3 linked regions of the Drosophila melanogaster genome follow. The protein of the gene in region 2 interacts with the protein of the main gene of each other region in a pairwise test. Each region holds a gene or a part of one and is shown on either strand. Other genes may lie near its edges. The genes, in order: Ptp4E, CG6912 and CG6118.

The links.
Region 1: the proteins of CG6912 (region 2) and Ptp4E interact in a two-hybrid assay, tested with the Drosophila melanogaster proteins (one large-scale study listed by BioGRID).
Region 3: the proteins of CG6912 (region 2) and CG6118 interact in a two-hybrid assay, tested with the Drosophila melanogaster proteins (one large-scale study listed by BioGRID).

Annotation. Positions count from the first base shown.
Region 1 is NC_004354.4:4,937,003-4,940,758, reverse strand, and holds the start of Ptp4E (protein tyrosine phosphatase 4E), read right to left. Parts: upstream 1,632-3,756; 5' UTR 1,559-1,631; exon of another isoform or gene 1,455-1,558; intron 1,323-1,454; exon of another isoform or gene 1,227-1,322; intron 1,179-1,226; exon of another isoform or gene 1,084-1,178; intron 338-1,083; 5' UTR 113-337; coding exon 1-112.
Region 2 is NT_033777.3:15,135,253-15,139,008, forward strand, and holds the start of CG6912 (uncharacterized protein), read right to left. Parts: upstream 1,753-3,756; 5' UTR 1,674-1,752; coding exon 1,590-1,673; intron 1,528-1,589; coding exon 1,458-1,527; intron 1,280-1,457; coding exon 1,220-1,279; intron 1,141-1,219; coding exon 247-1,140; intron 127-246; coding exon 1-126. Other genes in the region: CG3984 (uncharacterized protein), read left to right, coding at 1,910-2,021, 2,082-3,413, 3,483-3,652.
Region 3 is NT_033777.3:15,433,001-15,436,756, forward strand, and holds the start of CG6118 (uncharacterized protein), read right to left. Parts: upstream 1,739-3,756; 5' UTR 1,185-1,738; coding exon 1,118-1,184; intron 1-1,117.

The sequences.
Region 1 (3,756 bases), on a different chromosome or scaffold from region 2:
TGTGGCGTTGTTTTTGTAATTGCTGCCGCTTTCGTCCATGTGTTTGTATTTGTATTTGTTGCTGCTGATGATGTGCCCGTAATTGTTGTTGTTTTCGCGTGGCACAGTCCATTTTCAAGTACAGTAAAACCCAATGATGGTCGAAGGTTTCGCAGATTGCTGGTTTTACTTTTCAAGCGGGGATGGGCGGTGTTTTGCGCTTATTGTTTTACACATGTATGTACGTTTGTATTGCATATACATTTCTGTTGGCCGTTACATGGTCATTTGTTTGTATTGCACACGCATATTACGTTTCCTCTATTACTTAATTAATATTGCACTTGTATTGCACTCTCTGTAACGGGAAACGGGAGAGCAATGATGAGCGCGATCGAGAGCGAGAGCGGCAGATGTGGGCCCATTGTAATTGTTGTTTTCTAATACGATTTCCATTAACAATCGCCGGCTAATGCACGAAAAATGATTTATGTCCAAGCGAATTTGTAACGGCACATGCGTGCGGGAGAAGAAGAAGCAGAAGCGAAAGCTGCAGGTGAAGAGCAACACTGATCGTGGAGGGGGAAGCGGCTGGCTATGGAAATGTGAGCCACGCACAAGTACAAGTGCGTGTGCATGAGCGCTGCAAGTGTGTGATTTGATGCAGACACACATGCATACATAATCACACTCACACGCATTTGTGGCTGTAACGGCGCTTCACTACAAGTACAGTGGGCCCTCCCTGCTATTGAACACGCGAGCATGTAAATCTAACGAGATTTAGAAGTTAATATATGAAATGTAAATTCAATGCAAACATATAACGAATTTGGTTAATATGCCCGACAAAGTTTCGATTAGCGAGTCTTCACTGTGGCATTACAGTTTGCTACCGTTGTTATTGTTGCTGCATTACGAAATATCCAGCAATTAACAGACAATTGTTGTTGCCGCCGCTTTTTGCACTTCATATTTGCACTACCACTAGCTGAGCAGGTGTGTGTGTAGGTGTATGTGTAAATTACAGGTACTAGGGTAATATAAATTACAATAGTAGGCGGTTAATGGTGATTGCATTAAATGCTAATTGCACGCATTTACTTTTACTCCACCCTTGCTCTCCCACTCGCTCTCTCTGCCACACACACACTCGGACACACTGATGCAATGACTAAATGCGGCGGCGCAACGGCGTCGACGTTGGCAGCGACGGCATGGACGAAAAAAAAACTAATTCACTTGACTGTTGCTCTTTTTCTTCTGCTTCCTCTCCTCTCCACCCTCTTCATCCGCTTCTTCTTGTTTTCGTTGCACACCAATTTAAAACAAACTAGTCACGTTTCGTTTTAAGCGGAAAACATAAAAACAGAATATAAACTTCTGGCGCGTCGGCGCATTTGTTTAAAAAAAAAGAAGTCACAAACAAAAAATTTAGGCTTTAGTAACCGTTATTATGCAGAAAATAAACTGACACTTTTATTGACCGACAACTTGTTACTGACAAGAAAAAAAATAAGAAAAATTGGTTGCGAAAAGGAATCGGCCACGACAAATTGAAGCGAATGACTGCACGCACTTTTCACCACTGTTCATCAATGAATTTCCACATTTTCTGCCTTTTTGGACGACCGTCGCTTAACGAATGAATATAAATACAATACAAAGGCGTGACCGCCGCGCAGTGCTGCCGAAAAACAGAAAAAAAAACCCAAAAATACTGAATAAATACCACATATTTTACACAACACAGGGTCACTCATAATTTATTTAAAATTGTTAAATTTCTTAAAGAATATATTGTTAATATTATATGACATGTTTTGCTCATGTTTGACCAAATTTGATGTTTCGTTGATTCGGAAAGCGAAATTTAATTCATGCAGTTGATATTCAACAAGTATTCGTGCAGTCACACTTTGCAATTTCAAAAATTGCAATTTGGTAATTATTTCCAATGGTATTATTATAACTTTGTCATTTTTATTACTAGTCTTCTAATAGAAAATACAATTTATTTTATATATTGATATATTTAGTAAATAAAATAATATTTTGAGCACTTGTTAAAAATGTATCCATGTTTTCATAATAAACAGAACACACCAACTCAAACAAATTTGAAAATATCTAAAATTCGTTTATATTTGCAGAGAAGGAAATACCAGGTAATAAGTGAATTAAACTGTTTTTACTGAACTTTTTACAAAAATTTTATAATTATTTTTTTATTTTTTTTTAGATATGCAATATGAAAATTATATCAAGCAAGCTTAAGAAAGTTATATGAGCACCGGCACTCAAGGCTCACAGCTCGTAGAGTAAGTAGCTATCTTATGGTATTATTATATACAGGTTCATTTTTATTTGGTTTTAAAATACATATATCTCTGTATATATAACAAGTTTTTTTTCGTAGAACCTCAGAATAATCTCGAAGTGGTTTTGTGTGGGGTTAGCTAAGACGTTTTGAGACCAAAAAATTTATTAAATTATATATCAACAAAATTTAAATTAAACGTATTCGTAAATTAAATAAAATGTAAAACAGGAGTATGACCAGCTAGCTGTATTCAGTATTTTTGTTAAATTTAATATATTTCTTTAATTCTGTTAGGTAGCTGTAGCGTTAACAGCACTAATCGATAAATTGCCGAAGCTGTTAGGAGCTAACATACAGTCACTAGCAGAACGTCAAGTTGATGTCAGTAGCAATCAAAAGTGAAAAGGAAGCGAAAAAGTGCATTTTAAACTGAAAATAAAGTGTGATAAATAACAGTTGTAAAATCGAGCGGCTCAACCAAGGTAAAGATTGCAAGTACTATTTGATTGTCACAACATATCATATATGTTAAATATGTAACATATTTAAGGAGCAACACAAGCAACATACAACTGTGGTGAATGTATCTGTGTAAATATTGCCTTGGTGTGCGTGCAGTCGGCTTCATTTTGTTTTGCTGTTGACCTTCGCAGATCGAAAATGAGTTTAAATCGAATTCGTAAAAAAAAAGCCGCTTGAACTCTTCCAATGTCAAAAGCAGCGTTCAGAAACTGCGGCAATTGTGCGAAAAACACCAGAAAATAACGCCATCAATAAGTAGCACACAATACATGCAAATGTGTTTTTTTTTCTTGTGTCTTTTGCGCGCGCTTTCTCTGCAAATGTATTACTTAACAGTCGCTCTCTACGTCCCCATATCTCTCTCTCTCTCTTTCTCGCTCTAGAAATATAAACTAAACATTTTCTGCCTTTTTACTTTCTTTTTCCGGCTTTTTCTTGTTTTTGCCTGGCTATTACGGCTCATCTGTGTGTGTGTGTGTGTATGTGTATGCAGATACCGTTATGAGAGCGAAACCTGTTTCACATTCTTATGAGAATTCCAATCAAAGTCTTTCACTTTCCGTAGCTTGTTAGGCGCAAATGAAAACAAGGTCAGCCGCTGTTAAATACGCATGTTTTTATACAATATCTATCCTCGCGTTTCCTCTGTTTTCACGCTCAATTTCGCTCGTTGTTGTTTTGCAAGTCGAAGAAGAGGAAGCGGCAGGCGTCGCTTGCACGCACACAAGCACACTCCCTTAAAATTCCATTTGCGGCGTGCATTTTTTTTTTGTGATTGCAATAACAACAACGAGCAGCGACCTAGTTTATTCCGGGGCCTTTTATGTTGCCTTAATTCGGCACGTAGACCGCCTTACAGGTGTGTGCCTGTGTGCATCTGTAAATGTAAAACATGGTGGGGCCACTTTATTTTTCGGCCACTTTCGCCGAAT
Region 2 (3,756 bases):
GATAAATGCCACAAAAGTCCTCGATATTCATGAAGGCACAGCTTCCTTTGGGACAGTAGTAACTGTAGCAGCCCGGTGAGCACTTATCCCGCTGGTGATCCTTGCAGCCGGAGCAATCCAAAATGTCTGTGGAAACACAAGATTGTATTAATGATCCTGAAATACATTTTTTATCCTTATCTCTTCGATAAGTTCGTTAAGCAGATACTCAATGTAAATAATAAAAGAAACGATTTGAAGACTCACCGCTCTCCTTGCAATCCGGCGTGCTGCACGCCAGAAGTGGAGGATTTGGCGGCATGACCACTCGTTTCGCGTTTTCGTCATATACGACCTTCGGTGGCTTGAGATATACCACCGGGGCCGTGCAGACTCTGGAATCGCAGAACTTATTCTCCTTGTTGGAGCACACCCAGTTGGGCGCATAGTTGATGCAGATGCGAGGGCTCTTTACAAAACAGCATTGCGGTGGAGGATGACGCCCCGGAAAGACTTCATTAGCCGCCGACTGTTCCGTAGATGGCCTCAAACTGGGGTATATCCAGGGACGTCTGGTTGTTGTTGTGGCTACGATGTTATCTATAGTATAGTCATAGCTCTTGTCGTTATCGGGATCATAGGGTGCGGATGTAATGTACTCCACACGATTTATATTTTCGCTGGTCACCGAGTACTTGTGCTCATTGTGGATCACATTGTCAATCTCAAGGATAGTGGTGATAAATCCCGGTTGTTGGCAGCGTTTTTGATACCACACGGTTCCCGCTGGGCATGCCAATGAAATGCAACGGCCAGCCTTATATTCACCCTCCGAACAGACGATTTTCCTGCACTGCGAGTCGAAGTAAATCGATCCCGGTGGACAGCGAGTCAGTTCTGTAATGACGGGAGGCGCAGTTGTTGTTGTTGTTGTTGTGGTAGTGGGCTCTGTTGTTGTTGTTGTGGTAGTGGGCTCTGTTGTTGTTGTTGTGGTAGTGGGCTCTGTTGTTGTTGTTGTGGTAGTGGGCTCTGCCGTTGTTGTTGTGGTAGTGGGCTCTGTTGTTGTTGTTGTTGTTGTCGTAGTAGTAGTGGTCGTCGATTCAAGCGGGCAAGGCTCAGGATTCGTACGATAGCATAGTTCATCAATGCTAAGAAAGTATCCTAAACAAAATGACAACGAAAAAAAAAAACAACAAAAAATCTCACGAATTAAAGATTTATAAGTTTTTTACTAAGTTACCAGGCCCGCACGTTTTGTTAGTCTGTGGATAACATTTTCCATCCGCTTTCAATTGATATCCTAATGAACGATAAAACCAAAAATAATATAATAATAATACATTGGTTTTTCATATACTTTTTTAAAATTATCAGTTAAAGCATTGAGTAGTTCTATAAATAGTCATACACAGCTGCTGATTAAATTGGGCACCATTTTTGGTACAGCGAGATTAACCATTTTTTCAGAGATTTCTTACCTGTTTGACAAACGAAAGAGCTTTGCCACACGCCGTTGACATCCTGATATCCCTGCGGAGATGTCGGCTTCTAGGGGAATATATTTGTATAAGAATAGACACCAATCCTCAGAGTAAACCACATTCGGTTACCGCGATGTATGCTTGAGCACTTCCGCAAGGCACAAGGGTGATCAGGCAGGCAACCAGGGCCGATCTGAATGACTTCACAAGCATACTGTTTAACTTGCTTGCTGATCCGGGAGCTGAGACACAGATTCGCGATGTACGGCGGTCCGCACTAGGCGAGAGACTAATCGAAGCGACGCTGAGCTCGCTGGGATGCCTTTGGAAAGCATAATTGCTGGCGCTGCGATAACCTTCGTGTTCCAGATAACGGTGAAGGTCGCTTGGGCTGCAGCTTCAGCCGTTCCTAATCCGTCACCGGTGAGCCGGGATCAGTTCGAATCGAAATGTCTGACAGTGAAGTGGGTTTCCGTGTGCAACGGCTGCTGCTGTTAATCTGTCTTGGACTATTTCCCGCGACGGTTATCACCAATTATACACCAAATCCCTGCCAAAATGGTAAGTTCGACTTGGAAGCGTTTATCCGTCAGTCCACTGATGACATCATTCACATCTTAGGTCAGGTTAATGCTTATATCGTTTGCAGCCCCATTATTTTGAATATGTATAGTAACCTGTGCGGAGGTCAAACGGGGATTCAATGCAATCCTTCCAATCCTGTGACTACTGTTGTTCCTGGTACCCCCGGTTGCCCTAACACTCCTCAATATCCTACAGTGGTTCCGAATAATCCATTTAATCCCAATGTAAATGTTGTTCCTGGTACTCCCGGTTGCCCCAACACTCCTCAATATCCTACAGTGGTTCCGAATAATACATTTAATCCCAATGTAAATGTTGTTCCTGCTACTCCCGGTTGCCCCAACACTCCTCAATATCCTACAGTGGTTCCGAATAATACATTTAATCCCAATGTAAATGTTGTTCCTAGTACTCCCGGTTGTCCCAACACTCCTCAATATCCTACAGTGGTTCCGAATAATACATTTAATCCCAATGTAAATGTTGTTCCTGCTACTCCCGGTTGCCCCAACACTCCTCAATATCCTACAGTGGTTCCAGATAAGCCACTTTGTCCCAATACACCAACAACTCCAGCTTGTCCCAATGCCAATGGTCCGAGTTCCTGTAATTCGAACGGCCCATCTTCGTATCCCACGAACGGTCCTAGTATCAATGCTCCTTCCCCAACTTCTCCACCAACTACCACTCCCCCAAGTGTTACTGAGCAACCAGCGCCTGCACCTCCAGCAAATCCAACACCACCACCTCGACCGATCCCAGTCCCAGTCACTACGCCGCCACCGGATCCCATTATCCGGTGTCCGGAGGGAACAATTTTGGTGAAAGGTGTTTGCCGTCTACTTTTCTGCGGGGAAAATAGCTTGTACATCGAAGGACGCTGCATTCAGACCCGCTGTCCTGCTGGATATGTTTGGACGGGTATCCGGTGCTCGAAGCCTCAGCCATTGGAGCTCGGTAACATCCACATAGAGAACACTGTCCACCAGCTCCCAGGAGCTCTGCCCCACCTGATCACCAACAATGTTAACCACGTCATGGTAAACGCCTCCATCACAATCCCAGAACAAGCCTCCGAAGAGGAAGAGGAGCTGGTGGAAGTGGTGGCGCCACCACAGTCACCCTCAAGCCCCTGCTGCAACGTATTCGCTCCGCGGGTCTGCGCCACCCAGGCGGGTCAAGACGGATACAAGTGCTTCAGCAGGAGTCATCATCAGTGCGGTTCCGTCTGCAGTGCCAGGAAGGTGATGCTCGCTCCGGCCGCAGTAGCCAGCTGGACTCAGTCCAACAGCCAGATGGTGACCATCCCTCCCAACTGGGCGGGTCAGGCCTGTCAGTCCAATAATGGGATTTGCCAGCAGCCCCAGAGTGAGTTCAGTAAAGATAGTTGTTACATGCAAAGTAAAGTCCAATTTCATCGTTTTTTGTCCACTTTAGACTTCTACGACTGCAGTGGCTGTGCTATGGGTAACCTTTCGACCTGCTCCTCGTACTGCTACTCCTACAAATGCAGCACCCACAACTGCGTATATTACGACCAGGCCCAATACTGCTCCCAATATGCAGGTCAAACCGGATGCCGTGCGGAAGATGGATGGATGGATTAACACTCGCCAAGCGCAAATTATTGAAAACGTGCTTATCATTATGCAATCAATACCACTCAAAAAACAATAAAAAAAATAAAGCAATTAATAAAGAAAAACAAATT
Region 3 (3,756 bases), 300 kb from region 2:
AAGGCTGCGCTTGTAGGGATATGCATTTCTGGTTTGTGCTCAAATCCATTTGCATGGCAATGAAATGTACCAGAAAGTGGGTCAGCTTATGACAGGACTCGAAGCCGACGAACAACATTCACCCACAGAGAAAGAAAATCTAATACGATATACGTATGTTCAAATAATATGTGACAAGTATCAAAATGTTTGTAATGTATGTAAAGGCTTTAAGTAAAAAAAAATGTATATATATATATATATATATAAGTATCTTTAAAATTTTAGAAGACAGTAAGGTTTTCTTTCAGAGATTCGCCTGAGAAACCAACATTACTGGCAACGAGGAGAAATTACTGAATGTCTGAAAGGAAACATAAATTCTGTACCCGAAAAGGGATCTTTCTTTCTTTTATTATTCATTGTGGCTGTAGAAGTGGCAGCGACGTCGGCAGTGGCAGCGACGGCTACTGCGACGGCGAAAGAAAAACGAAGAAACGAAGCAACAACTTTCACCTATTAATATTCGTGTCGTAGCAGCGGCAGAAGCGAGCTGCCAAAGCCAAAGCTAAAGCTGTAGCTAAAGCCAGGCCAAAAGACCGAGACCGAGGCAGAAGCAGAGTCAGAGTCAGAGATACAGATACATTGCCAGCCAAAGATACAGATACTGCAGAAGCAGAAGCAACAAAACAACTAGTCACTGCCGATGCTCAACGACGGCAACACATCGCATATAGCATCGCATGTAGCATGTAGCTCGAAACTCCCAACTTCAAGCTTCAAGCTCCAAACTGGCTGCAACTCCAGCCAGTTGGGTCCCCTTGCTGGGGAAACTTTCTATAAAAAAAGCAGCTTTTGCTTTTTGTTTTGAAAATTTCTTTCTGGCTGCGCAGGTTGCCCGAGTGCACGGTTTGGTTCGAACGTTTGTTTGTTTGTTGCTTTCGCTTGGCATTCTGCACTCCAATGGGGCACATCCAGACTCGAACGGATCCGAAACGCCTTTTGCGTTTGTTACTTTTCTTATTGGTAAAACTAGCTTAGAATATTTGGATTTATAGTTATTCCCTACTAAACCCAAAGTATCTAGTAGTTAGTAACTACTGCTTGTTAGTAGCTAGCCAAGTTCAAGGCAACTTACAACAATATCTGGTCGAGTATTGACAATTCGCATTGACTGTGGGTGTCATAATCTCGTTGGCAGCCATATCCAAATCCAATTGTTTGATGATAATAGTGCTGTGTGCTAGGTGTACTCCAATCCCGATTGGTATCCTTGAGCTGTTCGGGAACTTTCCGTAATCCAATGGGCGCACACAAAATATATGTTTTTTTCTTTGATAGTTTCTCTTCTCGAAGCTTATTTGGTTGGCTGGCGGTGGCCGGTTTTCATTGTAGCATATCAATATTTGTCATTCAAGTGGCACTCACGCACCGAAACACCGAAAAATCACTTTCACTTTTGCGTTTTGATATGCAGAGAACACAAGGCAGTTAATAAATACGGATGCGTGGTCTTCGAAATCCGGAGAGAGGGGAGTGAAATTCAAGATCGCAAAACCACAGAGTCAAAAGAGGATAACATTTTGATTACACTTGGGCAGCATGATGCTGTTGCTATTCCACACTTTTCATATGATCTTGTTTTCTTTTCGAGTATTTTTCTTATATGATTTTCTTGCTATGAAGTTTCTGCGCAGGCGCGACTTTCTACGAGCTGGTCTGGCGATTCTTGCGCGCCGAACGGTGGAACGTAACGTCTGCCTCGAAACGCGGTAGACGTCTGTGCGGCAGCGCGCAGTGAAACCAGCGCTTATCCTCAAAGATCGCTAAGAAATTTCATGCCATTCCATTTCGTTTCTCAGCGGCAGCGACGCTTTCGCTTGCCGCACTCACACACCTGCAAGGTGGAAGCTCTGCCGTTGGTTCTTCGGCTCAAGAGTGCTTTTACCATTTCTTTCTCTCGCGCATACATGCACGTTCGAGCGCACTCACACACACACGGGCCATAGCAAGTTTGGTTCTTCGTTGAAGTCTTTTGTTTTGGTCCGCCGTTTGTGTTTGCCATGTGCTCTGAGTAAGAGTTTCGCCTTGGGAGCTCACTCTCGCACACCAAAGCCGAAATGGTTAATTATTTACAGCTTACCATCGTTTCGATTCCAGTGCGTTCCCCAGCTGCTTTTATAACTTTAACTTTCATCGCTGCCTTCTTAGACCAGCTTTTCCCACTTCCTCCACCCCACCCCCTGCTCGTGTTTGCCAAGCGCTGAAAATTACAACTTTCGTCTATTTTTGTCAAGATTTTTTTTATAATTATATAATTTAAGCGTTTTTTCTTCTTCTTGTCGCACATTTTTGGCCCCCGTTTCGCTGGCAATCTGATTCCGTTCGCTTTTCCATTGTTGCTGCCGTTTTTACTTTTCTTTGCATAAACCGCACGGCTAATTACGCACAAGGAGAGTGAAACTCCATTAGATTCTTAATTATACTTTAATTGCCAACGGATAGATAATGTGGAGAGCAGCACCCAGCGAGCCGGGCAGAAATCAACTTGAATCGCCTCACCAGTGGGTTGCAGTTGCAGTGAGTTGCATTTGGAAATCTTTCACCGCTGCATTTCTCATTGTTGCTGGCGGTACTAGTACTGGTACTGGTACTGGTACTGGTACTGGTACTGGGACTGGGTCTGGTGCTCGTACTGCTCTTTCTACTGGTCTACCCATGCGCAGTTAGCGTTGCAAAGCTCTGTCTTCAGCAGGCTCCATTTGGAGTGGTCTTGCTGGGGCTCTTGGGTGCTTTTCGGGGAGCCGGGGCTCTCTGCACTTACAGTTGTTTCTTTTGTCTTACACTCGGATGCGCGATGCTGCCCTGCTGGTTGTAGTTGTAGAAAACTTTCTAATGTAGAAGATGTCTGCATTAGACACTTCCCCTGGCCATTGTACTTGGATTGAATTGCCCCGCTGCCGCCGTGGGGCACAGTGGTAGGCCTCTATTTACTCGGCATTTGTCAGCTTTTTATTTCTTTCGAGATTTTCCCAAGCTTGATAAATTGTCGGCGAGAATTTCAATGTTGTAAAGTTGTATAGGCAGTATTCTAAGCTTGTGAGTTCACACCGTTGCCGATTGATCGATTCTTTTAACATATTTTACTCAGCTGGGTGAAAGTTTGTGTGATAAAGCCACCGACTGTTACATATAGAGATGTAAATCATCTTTCCATTGCGGATACATCGAGTATACCGTATCCACATCCACTTCAAGTAGGGATGCAGAACCTGTCGAAGATCCATTTAGTCATCCAGTGCTCAATCTTGTGTCGCATGACCACGACTTTCGACCAACTAATAGGCCCGAATTTGTATTTACATGCTAATGAGCAACGGAATATTTTGTTTCTACTGAAAACGAAAACGCATTTTATTGCCAAACGATGATCTTTGTCAATAGGAGAGCTAATAGATTTAATTGGACGGCTGGTTCGTTATATAAATCTCGACCGGGCCAGAACTGCTGGGGGAAAAAGAAACGAGCTAAGATGTATCGCGGCTAAATGATTAATGCAGCTAAGAGTCGAGACCCCAAAAGCCAAAATCGTATTTTCACTTTTTAATAATTAACATAAAATTATTAAGAAGACGGCGAAGAAGCTGTGCAGAGGGCGAGGCAGAACGAGCGAAGATGCCGAAAACGATGCCAAACGCATTAAGCGCCCAGCCACAAAGACAAGGCAAGGTAAAGAATAAGCCAAGAAAGTTGTAAAATCCGAGCAGGAAAAGAGAT